Linked DNA regions of Lonchura striata. Each later gene encodes a partner of the first gene's protein in a complex. Links are inferred from orthologs where the notes say so. Each region holds a gene or a part of one and is shown on either strand. Other genes may lie near its edges.

Region 1 (8,151 bases):
AAGCATCATTCTATTAAACACAGATAGCATGTATGCAAATGACTTTTTCAAGGAAGACAAGCTTAAGCTATGGTTATTACCAATGAACTCAGCAATTCTGAGTCCAGATTCAATATCCTCCCCTTCCCACCTTAAACAAGATCACCACTTATCTGACAGCCCCACCACGTAGTTCTTCAATATAAGAAATACCTTTGCCTAGACGAAGCCACATGCAGTCATTAACTCTCATCCTCCACATCAACTCCTTCAACGAAACCTTAGCAAACCTCCCCCTGGAAATGAACACTTTGACATTTTTTAGGAACCGGCACTTGTTGTGGTTTGAACCCCAAAGCTCAGCAGGAATGACCTTCTCCAGGCAATCCCTCACAAACATGTACACCTGCCAGTGGCTGCTGTGCTGCTTGAGGAGCTCTGCGAGGGCTGAATCACATGCCTCTCGTGGGTTTTGTTCCTCACTCGGCAGCAACTCCCCACGCGCAGATTCTGCCAAGGGAGCACCTAAGTTGTCTGGCACATCATTGTGACCAGATTCACATCTGCTGCTTGTCGCACACTTAGCAGGCTCTTTCCCAGACTGTTCCTCTTGCTTCTGAACCTCTGCTTCCTCAGACAAGGCCACCTGACAAGACAGCTTGGTTTTTGTCATACTGATTTCAGATATCCAAACAGGGCAATTTTTTTTCAAGAGAGCTGAGTAAGCACACTTCCCATGGTTCAATAGCAGTTTCTGAAATATATGTCTCATTTGCCAGTAACGTTTGGGCAATGTCTTCTTTCTTCGCTTGTGTTTTGGCAGACTTTGGTTATGCCTTTGCTGCACCTGATTCTGGCTTAAGAATATAGCTTCTACAAGCTGTCTTCCACCTGCCTGAGAACCTTGCAAGCGATTCAATACAAATGATTTAGGAAAACATTCTTGGAAACTCCTGCAAGAGTACAGAAGAGACTTCCTCTCAATGTATGTTGCAGAACTCAGGAGTCTCTTTGGTAACTTCTTTGATAAATGAGGTTGGGGACTTTCCTGCTCTCTGCATTTTGAACCCTCCACTGGTTTGGTTTGTCCTGAAGCCAACTGAGATTCATATGTACGCATCTCTACTCTTTTCCTATGGGATTCTGCTTGCATTTCAGTGTTGGACTCTAGAGGTTTGTTACTCTGAAATCTCTGCAGAAGAGAGACTGCCACAAATTTCCTCCTGCCACAAGATGTGTGAACTAAAGAAGGACCAGACACAGCACTGTTACTTCTTTCAGAAATACAGGGGGTTTTAATGACACTTGCAGAATGTGCTGCTACATACCCAGTTTCAGATCTCTCGGAACTACTTTGGTTTACATCAGGAACAAGACTACAAGCCTTTTCCTCTCTCACTTTCTCTCCTATTTTTGCCCTCTTGGCTGGAATTTCAAATTGTTCTCTATGAATCTTCCTTTTTAGAGACGGAGCTGCGGCTGAAACACATGAACTGGAGCTACTCTGTTTTTCCTGAGCTTCAGTAACCATTCTGATCTGTTTGCTTCCTTTAGAAACGGTTTTTGCAGAACTCTGGTCAGTGGGCCCTAAGCTTCGTCTCTTGTTCTTTCTTTCATTTCTCATCCTGGAGACATTATCTTCATATCTTTGTCTGTTTGACTTTAAAAGATAATTTCTATGAAAGATAAGCCTTTTTTGCATATATTTCAGCAAGCTAGTACGTTTATATTTTGAGAACCTTTGTCTAACAAATACCAGGGATGAGTCTACACTATGTGAAATAAGTTCATAAACTGGTTGTCCACAAACCTGGTAGCAATTATTAGGGGGAACCAACATAAAGATTGCACAGTGTTCCAATAAATACATCATCACATCATCCCCTATCCGGCTCAACAGTGTCTCCCAGAAGCCGCTGATACAAAGAGTTTCTGTGGCAGTATTGGGTAGGTAGCTGTGTATCTTTGAAAGTGGCATGACTGGGAATTGAGAACTGTTTTCATCTGGTAAGGAGTATCCATACGCGAGGATATTCTTCTTCTTTTTTTCACACAGTCTCTGAACAACTCTTGCGGTGACCTCACTCTGACTAGATAACTGAAGAAAGAAAGAAAAAAGATAATTAGCTTTTTCCACTTACTCCTCCATAAACCACAATATACCCTTTAAATATAAACACATGCAAAGTTACACAGCCCCAGACATCAGCTTTGAAAGCAGTATTAATTATTCACATGCATCACACTCAAAAATTAAGATTTTCCAAGCGTAATGCAAGATGTTCATATGCAGCAACGTAAGCCGATGACTTGAAGGTAGTCTTTTTAACACCTGCCCTTTTGATCCTGGCTTTTATGCCCAGGAAACGCCCTGCACTATTCCCCCTAAGACCCACAGCAGCTCAGACTCCACGGCCTCCAATGAATCCGTGTTCGCAGATCCATGTTCGCAGGCACGCATACGTGCTCGCGCAGGCTCCAACCTCCAGGGAACTAACGCTAATTTTCTTGAGGCCTCCACTTCCTTTCATGTAAAGGAAAATTCAACTAAACGACTCGGCACACACTTCCAAAACCCATTTAACAAGTTGCCCTGGGTTGGCAACATCTGCTTCCTACCACAGCACAGTTTTGCTCATATGGCGCTAGAAAAAAAGCGGTCTTCCCTCTCTGAAAAGCTTTTCCTCCGCTTAAACAACGACCTGCAGCGCGTTCTACCCGCCTCTTCTTCATTCTCTCAAGACTGGGGCACTCTCCATCCCCCGTCGCTCCCCGGCCACTTTCGCCTTGTTCCCCGTACCCACAGGGGCAGGCGGGCGCCAGGGGCCGCGCGCAGACCCGCAGCGCGACCGCCGCCCCACGCCGGCACCCGGGCCCTGCTCTCCCAGCCAAGAGGCGGGGGCTGGCTCCCACCGCTCCCCGCCGGCTCCGGCCGGGACGGAGCGGAGAAGGAGGCTGCGGGACCGGCCGGGCCCGCCCGGCAGCCGCCAACAGGGGCAAAGGCCGCCGCGCCGCCCCGCAGTCCCCGGGAGCCCGGCCGGGCCTCGCCCCCGGCCCCTTCCTACCTGCTGGAAGGAGAAGGGCCGCGGGATGGCGCGGGCGCCGCGGGGGACGCACACGAGGCACTGCCCCACGAAGTTGCGGTAGCCGGGGGCGTCGTCGGCCCGCAGCACCTCGGCGTCCCCGGCGCCGCCGTCCCCCAGCCGCCGGACGAAGGTCTCCAGCGGGACGGCCTCGGCGTAGCAGCGGCGCAGGGCGGACAGCACGGCCGCGAAGGGCTCCTTGCCCGCCATGTTGCGGCCAAAGAGGGCGCGGGGCCACCTGGCGCGGCCGCGGCGCCCCTGCGACCACGCCGCTCGCCCGCCGGGCATCGCGGAGCAGCGGCTTAGTGATGGATGCGTGAGGAGGTAAACGCATTAACTGCTGAGGCGGAGGAAAAAGGAAGCAGCCAAAGCATCCTTTCAAAGCCGCGGCGCGGCTGCACGCCGCTGCCCCCCGCGTGGCCGCGGGCCGGCGGGGCGGGGCGGCGGGGCGGGGCCGGGCGGGGCCGGAGGCCGCTGTCCAGCTCCGCCGCGGGGACACAGCGGCAGCATTCCCCGCCGGGGAGCGCTTTTCCCCTCTGGAAAAGCATTCCATTGAGGATCTGTCTGCACTAAGAGCACCTGTAGGAGAGATTGTGGTGGAGATGAACGTACGAAACCCTACAAATACCGAAGTGGCTCACCCTGTTGGTTTTTGTTTTTTTTCTCATCAAATTAATGAATGAAGAAGCCACATCACTTGCGGTACTGTACAACCTCCTACTCCAAATTTGGCTTGGTATCTGAAGATTTCATGATAGAAAACCTGATGCCAGTCTGTGAAAGGGATTGCAGTAGAGTCCTGGGGAAGTGCAGGTCTCTAGGCTCTATATGTGTTCCAGGTGAATTAGTAGAAATCCTAGAATTATATAGCATGGTTTGGGTTGGAAGGGACTTCAAAGGTCATCTAGTTCCAACTCCCTTGCCATGGGTAAGAGCAATATACGTGAAATATCTGTGCAATAACGGAATTAGGGGATGCTGAGAGAAATACAAATTGTTCAGCCAACATTGCTCCCATAAGGAGTCCTGCCCTTGAGTTCTGTCAAGTGTTGAAAAGACATGAAAAATTATCTGGTCATCTGGTTGATATATGCTACCTGAATTTCCAAAAGCCTTTGCAAGAAAATGTACCATGATGCATTGCATACATTCAACAAACCCAGGACTTTTGTGTAAATGTTTTGGCAACATGGAGTTAGCACACTACCATGGAGGGTGAGGTGACTGACTCTCTTCTACCCAGGCTTCATAATTAGGTTGCTGTAAGTATCCTGCAGAAATATAACAGACTTCTCTCCTTCCCAAAGATTAGAGAGTACCTCATCTTTGAGAGGAATCATCCAACAGATCCCATCGTGGAGATTACTTTTTCAGGGGTGTCACTAGATGAAGGGAGATGTTAGTGTCCCCATGGTCTTGTCCCTGGTAGTGGTGGTGCCATGCAGTGAATAATTCTCACCAGTAGCAGGGACAGATGTGTAGAAGTCGTGAGTCTGCTGAAACAGAGCCATGTGTACCTTCCTCAAATGAAGCCTTTACAGACTAGGGAGTGAGGTCACCATCCCACTGCTCATGGAGGACTGGCCTCCTTTCCTACTAAAACAATTAATTTCTTCCTGGGAGCAAAGCAGCTCATCTCCTAACATCAGCATGACTGAGGATTCAACTCCCTGGCAACTTGTCACCTACAAGTTGAGGCATTCCTACATAATTTCCAGTTCAGCACTGCCTGCTTGCCAGACTCTTTTAGCTCTTAACAGAGATAGGCACCAGCTGGCATTCCCAAGGGAGGCAGAGCAATAACACCAGGCTTCATGGGATCTCAGCAGGGCTGTAATTAAAATACTGCACTACCACTGCATACTGAGGGGCAGGGGATTTGTAGACAGTCTGAATCCATCTGCATCTGCATCTAGGGTAGTGATATAGCTGATGCCCTTAGTCTGACCTCTGAAGGATCTATTTGACTTGTATTTCCCCCCATATCTCTGTTGCTCCAAAGGTGACAGCACCATTATGGTAGAATGTTGCCTGTGACAAACATAAGGTTCACCATTTCCTGTGACAAGCATGTTCAGGAAGAAAGTAAGAGGAAAAGGAAGAAAAAGGGATTAATTAATCTCCACCAGTTGCTGGCAGGTCCCAGCCTGTGCCCCTTCCTGATGCCTCCTTGGTGGCAATAACCACAGCAGTGATGGTGGGGGAGAGGGCTGCTGCAGCCAAGCTAAGGGGGGCTCTCTCCTCTTTCTTTTCACAGGTACTGTGTGTTTTTCTGTGTGTCTACTATTGGACTGGGGAGAAAATTCAGGAGGGAGAGGGAGACTGAAGTAACATGGAAAAAGATTAAGGTTGACTTTTTGACTTTTTGGCTTTTTTTTTTTTTTTTTTTTTTTTTTTGGAGGGGTGACAGGATGAATAAGGAAAATAGAATCTCAGAGACATAGAATAGCTGAGGTTGAATGAACTTTGTAGAGGTATCTAGTCCACTCTGCTGCTCAAAGCAGGGTCACTTAGAGCAGATTGCCAAGTACCATGTCAAATCAGGCTTTAATGTCCTCAAGGATGGAGACTCTACAACCTCACTGCACAACATGCTCCAGTGCCTTATCACACTTAAAAAAAAAAAATAATGTTTAAATAGGATTTCTTCATTTTAATTTGTGCCTGCTGCCTCTTATCCTGATATTGGATCCATTGAGAAGAATTTGGACCCATCTTGTATTTATTCACTTTGATATGATCCCCACTTTGAGCCTTTCCTCCTTGGGCTAAACAATTCCTTTGATATGATCCCCACCAAGCCTTTCCTCCAGCTGCCTCACCATCTCCTCATAGGTCAGATTGTCCCACTCTCTAATCACTTTAGTGTCCTTTAGTGGTGTCCTGGTTTAGGGCAAATTTGGGAGAAAAACTCCAGAAGGAGCCCCCAGAAAGCAAACCCACCCACAGCCCCTCCCCCCCCCCCCCCCCCCCCCCCCGGTTCGGGAAGAATTTCCTCAGAGAGAAGAGGGAAAAAAACTGTTTATTTAACAAGCAAAACACTTCCCAGCACCAAAAAAAACAAAAAAAAACAAACAAAAAAAACCCCCAAAACACCAGATGACAAAAACTCTTTCACTGCTCTGAAGAGATGACAAATTCAAATTCAGAAAGTCTCTCCTGGGAGTGGTTGCCCAGTTCTTGGTCTCTGGCACTGGGGATGGCTGCTGCAGATCCCCAAACGCAGGCTCTCGGTGTTCCTCGGTGTTTCCCAGGTTCCAGTCCAGAGCAGGTTGGAATGATACTCAGGAAAGGGAAAGAAAAAAACCAGTTCAGAATAAAAAAGATTGGACTCCTTAATTAAACTAACTAATAAGCAAAAGCAAAGGCAAAAGCAAAAGGAGGAGCAAGAGCAAGCAAGCAGGCCAGGCCAGCCAGCAAGCATTAGCCTCTCCTAGACAACAGACCGGGGGTGGGGGGGAGGTGAGCCGGCTGATAACAAGACAAAACAAACCTTCACTTTCAGAGTCAGTTCTGAAAGCACAGAAGATAATATCAAACATAAACAGAACACATGATTGGGAATACAAACACCATAAAGTCACCCTAGGACAAGTGGAAAGTTCTCTGTGCTCACTACAATATCACTCTTTTACTGGGAACCCAGATCTGGAAAAATAATGGGGTCAGGTCTCAACAAAATTTATGCTTCAAGGCATACTTAACCTTATCCACATTCTGCTTTACAACCAGTTTCTGTGAAAGGGGGTTACCCTGGGAATGGATAGTGGTATGATAAAAATAAAATGCTGTTTTTATGGTCAAGCAACAAAGTGAAAGGAAATGTGATGTTATGTTTGTGTCCAGCTTCAGTAATGGCCATTTAAAGAGGCAAGCTTTCTGCAAATGTGCCTCTATTTTCAAAGCTCCATTTGAGAAGGCTAAAGGGAACTCTTAGAAGAAAAGTCACAAGATGAAGAAGTCAGGTGTCTTTCAAAATGTGTGTTCAAATAGAAAAGTGAAAAAACAAATCAAACAATATCAGATTAGTTTGATTAATAACTTCTCAAAGTTGGAAGAAACATGAAACTTCAGAAATGGAACAGCTTGTCAGGAAGTCTATAATGCAAAAATAGAGAAGGAACACTTAGGACAATCATGGCAATACTAAGAAACTTGAGGGAGGGTCCTGTGTGAAATCTTTGCACACACCATGAACAGTCTCAAGGTTGATTATTGTGAATTATGTTGTTCAAGAAAGAGGAAAAAAAAATACAAAAGCCAGTGAGTCTCTAAAATTAGATGGTAATTACCAGTGAGTTTAAAGGAACTCAGGGATTACCCATGTCAAGACAGAAAGTTTCTGTATCACAGGCTATGAAAATATGTAACCTGACATCAAGAATCCAAAAAGATATCATAGGGACTACCTAGAAGTGAATCTGATGACTCAGCTGTGGAAGTTGACTAACTCTGTAGTAGAGAATGGCAGGAGAATGTAGTGGAGAATTGGAGGAGTCAGCATTACTTTTGCTGAGGATGACATTATATGATACAAGGGGACATTCCTTTGGTCAGTTAAGGTCAGCTGTCCCAGCTGTGTCCACTCTCAGCTTCTTGCCCACCTCAGTCTGCTCATGTTGGAGGCAGAGAGGGAAAAAAGAAATCCTGATGCTGTTCCAAGTGCTGCTTAGCAATATCAGGGTGTGGGTGTGTTGTCTATTAGTCACAGACCCAAAGAAGAACACAGACTGCTTTGAAGAAAGGTAACTCTGTCCTTGCCAGACCCAGTACAATTTGTCAGAGTAAGACCCCTTTTTGGCCCATCACATCCATCAGAGTCATCACAGATCTTCAGACAATGTGGCTGACCTTGGTGCCAGTCTCACCTGAGGCTATTGCTTGAGACAGATCATACACTAATGTGCCTTTAATCAAGGACATCCCTTCAGCCTAACCAGCTGCTCAGTGTAATCCCTCTTTAGAGCATCCCTCATGTGTCATGGTTTTTATCTGCCGTGGAATGAAGCCTGTCTGTGATAGTGACTTGCTCTCTTCTCTGTTGGCTTGCATCTGCAGTCTGTGTTTTCTTTGCAGTGGTCTTGGTAAA
Region 2 (5,891 bases), on another chromosome or scaffold:
GTGGCTCCTGTGCCCTGGGCTGCGGTGCCATCTCTGGCTCTCTGCCGCTCTGCAGGCCTCTCGGGAAACGCTGCTTTCTGCAGTAAGGTTCCTGAAGAGAAGGGATCTTCAGCAGCTGCTGAAGACGGATCAGATGTGGAGCTTTGCCGAGCGCTTGGTAAGCACAGCCCGGAAGCCCCAGCCCCGGCCTGGAGAAGCCGCCTGCCCACGGTGCCCAGTCTGTGCCCTGGCAGCTGCGGCCCCTGCCCAGTGCTGCCCGCAGGGGCACCGGCCGGCGCCCCACACGCCGCTGCCTTCCCTGGGCCGCGCGGGCTCTGCTCCAGGCTCCTCTGGCCCCAAGGCCGGTGCTGAGGGAGCCCCGAGGCAGCCGGGCTCTGCCGCGGGGCGGCACCGCGGCTCGCCGGGCCCTCTGCTCCCTGCAGAGCCCGGCGCCGGCGGCTGCTGGCCGGGCCTCGGCGCTGTGTGGGCAGGGGGAGCGGCGCCGGGCGGAGGGAGCGCCAGGCCGAGGGGCAGGGCCCGCACCAACCCTTCCCTTCGTGCCCCGCCGCTCTCTGCAGCTGGCAGAGGACAGGAGCCGAGCGGCCGAGCACCTGCGCCGGGCCCTGCCCTACGTGCAGAGCCCACAGGAGCCCCTGCGAGAGGCGGCCGTCAGGTTCATGGGTGAGCCACGAGCCCGGCTCCTTCCCCGCCCCGCCGCAGCTCGGCCCCAGCCCCGCCTGCTGCCCCGGCAGCAGCATCCGCGCTCGGCCATCTGGAGCCCCGCCTGGCCTCGGCGCTGCCGCCGCCCTCTGGCAGCCGTGCCCTGGGGCAGCAGGATGCGCCAGGGGCCCGGGCTGAGCCCTGCCGGGCCAGGAGCCCGTGTGGCCTCGGGCCGGGCAGCGCCCGCGGGCGGCAGCTGTGGCTCTGAAGCCAGCTCACGCTCTCTGTTCCCAAGGGATGGCCGGGCGCTGCCTCAGAGGACAGCAGCAAGAGTTCCGCATCCTCTGCAGGGGTGAGTGAGGCCAGCGGGCTCTCAGCGGGGGCTGCCGCTGGCAGCTGCCTTCCCTGGCCCGGCACGCACCAAGGGCAGCGTGGGCACAGCACACAGACCTTTTGGGGGGCCTGTGGCACATTCGTGGCCAGCACCTTCCAGCTCGCCCTTCTTGTCTCCTGCTTCCTCCAGGCCATGGCAAGAGCTGCCTGGCATGGACGTGGCAGGAGGGTCTCCCCATGTTTCTGCAGACGCAGGCTCTGACGGTGGCTCTGTTCCTCTCTCTCGTAGCCCTTCAGGACATGGCGGATGACGTCAGCCCTGCCATCTCATGCCTGGCCCTTCAAACCCTGTACATCAATTTAGCTGTACAGGCCATTCCCTCCTCCCGACTCCAGAATGTGCAGGATCAACTCCGCCGGCTCTGGAAGTCACGGCCTTTCCCGTGCCGCCGTGGCTGGCTGTCCTGCTGCAGCGCTGTGGAGAACTGATCCGCCAGGCTGCGTCTGCTGGGGCCACCTGAGCCTGCGAGGAACAACTGCCCTCTGCAAGCCCTTCCTTTCACCCCAGAGTAGCATTAATAAATTGTTGTTGTCATACCCGGAGGTCCAGGAGCTTTCTCTTGGTGCCCAGATTTTTCAGGCCAATGGGGAGGAGGGGAAAAAGGGCGCTTGCACTCGGCAAGTTGCCCAAGCCTGTGGTGGGCAAGGGAAAGTGGCCAAAAGCCTTTTGGCCTTTGGTGATCCTTTGGTTGAATGTTTTTCTTCCTGCATCAAGTCTTCGGGAGCTATGGGAACAAGTGTGTTCTGTGTCCATGGAACAGCAGAAAACGCCAAGATGTGTCTTCTTCCAGCACTTCTCTTGGCTCTTCCTTCACACTGCTGGCACCGTCATCAGAGACATGGAACAGCTTCTCTCATGCCAGCGTTATCCCAATCTTCTGCACTTCCCCAGGTTCCTCCCAGCTTCAGCAGGGAAATTCTCTGCTCGTGCCTGTCCATTCCCTTGCCCAGAAGGCAGCACCCACTTGTCTTTGGACATGAGCTGCTGGCCACAACCTGACAGGCAGCAACTGGAGCATTGCGCATCAGATGCTGGGCTGATGTTCTTTCCCAGAAAGCAAGAAAAAACAGAAGGACACAAGGAAACTTGACACTATATCTGTAAGAATGTCATTGTCCTCTGGAAGTCAACAGTGGATGGTGTTTTTGTGTCGCAGATTATCACTTCCAAGCAAAAATCATTCTAGGAAGGAGCAACAGCTTTTGACAGATACCAAGTGCGGCTACCAAGTGCTGCTCCAGGTGCTCCTGCCTGCAGCCACCTGCAGAAATGATCACAATTAGAGAACACCATGCTAAATTAACGAGGACAATTAGGGAACAGCATGTTAATTTCAGGAGCACAATTAGAGATCACCATGTCAAATTTCACGAGGACAGTTAAGAAACACCATGTTAATTCAAGGAGGACAATTAGAGAGCATCGTGTTAAAATTAATGAGGCCAATTAGAGAACACTGTGTTAATTTCAGGAGCACAATTAGAGAACACCATGCTAAATTCACGAGGACAATTAGAGAATATCATGTCAAAATTAACAAGGACAATTAAGGAGCTCTGTGTTAAAAATAACAAGGATAATTAGAGAACACCATGTTAATTTAAGGAGGTAAATGAGAGAACACCATGTTATTTTAATGAAGATAATTAGAGAATACCATGTTAATTTAATGAGTTCAATTAGAGAATACCATGTTAATGTAGGAGGACAATTAGAGAACACCATGTTAAAATTAACAAGGATAATTAGAGATCACCATGTTAATTTCAGGAGCACATACTAAAATATCATCAGAGGCTGTGAAACAGCAGGGCGGAGACACAAGAATAAATAAAATAAAAAAGTAAAACCAAAAAAACCAAAACAAAATAAAATAAAATAATATAAAGTAAAATAAAATAAATTAAAATAAATTAAAATAAAATAAAATAAAATAAAATAAAATAATAAATCCTAACCCTCAGGATGTCTTTGAGCCGGAGAGTGAAGGAGTCAGGCAAAGGAGCTCCCAAAACCTCAGAAATTTTAAAGAATGTTTGAAAACTGAAAATCGCAGATTATATGACTGGCTTTTGGCAAATATTAAAATTAATACATGATGTGTTATGTTGGAAAGATATGCAGTATTAATCTCTTAAATTTGGCTGTAATAATATTTTTTAAATTTGGCTGTATTAATCTCTTTTTCATTTTAATAGCGCAGTATTAATCTCTTTTAAGTTTTGCTGTATTAATCTCTTAAATTTGGCTGCATTCATCTCTTAAATTTCTCCTGTATTAATATCTTTTCAGTTTTGCTGTATTAGTATTTTTAAACTTTTTCCTGTATTAATCTCTTTTAAGTTTTTCCTGCACTAATCTCTTTTAAATTTTTCCTGTATTAATCTCTTTTCAGTTTTGCTGTATTAATCTCTTTTAAATTTTTCCTGTATTAACCTCTTTTAAATTTTGCTGCATTAATCTCGTTTAAGTTTTCCCATATTAATCTCTTCTAAATTCTTCCTATATTAATCTCTTTTCAGTTTTTCCTCTATTAATCTCCTTTAAGTTTTGCTGTACTAATATTTTAAATTTGCCTGTATTAATCTCTTTTATTAACCTCTTTTACATTTTTCCTGTATTAATCTCTTCTAAATTTTTCCTGTATTAATCTATTTTAATTTTTTTCCTGTATTCATCTCTTTTCAGCAGTGTGGCACATACACTTTTTAGCCTAGAGGACAATATTAAAAGAACAGCAACAGACACCAAAATCTCAAAAAAAAAAAAAACCCAAAACATTGTTGCCTCCTTCTCTGGAAATCTCAGATTTTCAAAGATTGATTTACGAGTAAAAGTAAAACTCCTAAAATTTCAACACAACGAGTTTTTCACAAATAACAAAATCATGACTATGCACACGCCTCAGCGCTGTCACCCTGCTGGAATTATTCTCCTTTTTTTATCCTATTACTGTTATTCTTATTATTAATAAACTTTAAAAACTCCAAACCGTCAATTCTGTTCCTCACACTTTCAGACCCAAACTTCCTTACTTTGAACCCAAACTCACTTTTCACACCAAAATTTTCCCCCTGCCTCCCTGGGTTGAATTTTTAAGGTCAGACTCCCATTTTTTAAAAATCCAGATTCTCCTTTTTAGGTCCAAACTGCTCCATTTTTCTGCTCAAACCCTGAATTATGGCCCAAATTCTCCATTTTTGGACCCAAACTCCCCCTTCTGGGGTCCAGACTTCCCATCTGGGCACCGAAATTCCCCTTTATGAGGCACAAATTCCCAAGATTTTTTTGTCCAAATTCTCCCTTTTTGAAACCGAATTTCCCTTTTTCGGTCCAAATTTCCCCTTTTTCTTGCCCAAATCCCCTTTTTGGGCCCAAATTCTCTCTTTTTGGACCCAAATCCCCCTTTTTGAGCCCAAACTTTCCCTTCCTGGACACAAATTCCTTCTTTCTGTGCCCAAATTCCTCCTTTTTAGACCCAAACTCCCGTTTTCACCCCAAAATCTCCTTTTTTGGCCCCAAATTTCCCCGCTCGGACCCGCCAGGTTGAGTGGTACTCCCCGCTCGCTTCCGGAACTGCATTTCCCATCACCCCTCTCTCCAATTTCCGGTGTAAACACCGCCTTCTTTCCTTTTCTCTTGAGGCGACTTCCGGCCGGGTGCCGCGCTGGCGCCGCCATGTTCCTGCAGTGCTACGAGAACGAGCGCGGGGAGCGCGTCTACACCCTGCGGGTACTGGGCGCTTTTTGGGGCGCTTTTGGGGGGATTTAGGGGATGGCTCTGAGGGGACCCGCGGTGTTTGGGTGTCCGCGGTGCGGGCTGGGGCCATGCGGGCCAGTTGGACTGTGCTGAGGGGGGGATTTGGGCTCTCCCTGACGCTCTGTCCCCACAGAAGGTGTCCCCGGACGGGGTCCCCACTCGCTCGGCGCACCCCGCCCGCTTCTCCCCCGATGATAAATTCTCCCGGCACCGCCTGGCCCTGAAGCGGCGCTTCGGGGTTTTGCCAACGCAGCGAGGCCGGACCGTGCTCTGAGGCACCGCAGAGATCCGCTGCGGAGCCCCGAGATGGCCCCGAGCTCCTGGGACGGATCTCCGCCATGAGAAAAGGTCAAATCGCCATGCCAGCGGACTGCACGGAAATGGGGGGGAAAGGAACGTTTTAAAGAGGAGGAAAAATGAAGTATTAAAAGTCGAGGGTCTCTGAGTTTTGGTATCCAAATACCTTGGGTTTTTTTTCCTGTTTTGGGGGTATTTTTGTGGTTTTTAGGGTCTGGGGAGGGAATTTAGAGGGGTATTGGGGGAAGCGCTAACGGGGCTCTATGGGGCGCGGGTATAACAGGGCTCTATGGGGCGCGGGGGATGATGGGAGTTGTAGGTGCGGGTATAACTGGGCTCTATGGGGCGCGGGGGATGATGGGAGTTGTAGGTGCGGGTATAATTGGGCTCTATGGGGCGCGGGGGATGACGGGAGATGGAGTCGCTGCTTTAATGGAGCTGAATGAGACCGCGAGGCATCACGGGAAGTGGAGGCATGGCAGTAAATGCGCGCGATGGGCGCCGCGAGGTATGATGGGAGCTGTAGTCCCGGAAGTGGCTGTAGCGGAGCGGTTGGGGGTCCGGGAGGGCACTTGTGGGTCTACAGGGGCACCCTGTGGGGTCGGGAAGCCCCTGGGGGCACCCGGGGAGCTCTGAGGGGTGTCTGTGGGGCGCAGGACGCGACGGGAATTGTCGGGCCTGAACTCGGCTCTGAGGAGGCTCTGTGGCCGCGGGGCATGACGGGAGCTGGAGTCCTAGCTTTAATGGCGCTCCGTGCGTACCGCGATGCATGGTGGGAGCTGTAGTCCCTTTGGTGGCACTC

What was found.
Region 2: TERT (region 1) and NOP10 share a complex: the UniProt entries of both Homo sapiens proteins name them as parts of the telomerase holoenzyme complex. The link is inferred for Lonchura striata from reciprocal best matches to the Homo sapiens genes TERT and NOP10.

The regions. Positions count from the first base shown.
Region 1 is NC_134603.1:64,359,797-64,367,947, reverse strand, and holds the start of TERT (telomerase reverse transcriptase), read right to left. Parts: upstream 3,312-8,151; 5' UTR 3,273-3,311; coding exon 3,045-3,272; intron 2,078-3,044; coding exon 193-2,077; intron 1-192. UniProt on the Homo sapiens protein: Telomerase is a ribonucleoprotein enzyme essential for the replication of chromosome termini in most eukaryotes. Active in progenitor and cancer cells. Inactive, or very low activity, in normal somatic cells.
Region 2 is NC_134639.1:2,432,212-2,438,102, reverse strand, and holds NOP10 (H/ACA ribonucleoprotein complex subunit 3), read left to right. Parts: upstream 1-4,669; 5' UTR 4,670-4,711; coding exon 4,712-4,765; intron 4,766-4,925; coding exon 4,926-5,066; 3' UTR 5,067-5,237; downstream 5,238-5,891. UniProt on the Homo sapiens protein: Required for ribosome biogenesis and telomere maintenance. Part of the H/ACA small nucleolar ribonucleoprotein (H/ACA snoRNP) complex, which catalyzes pseudouridylation of rRNA.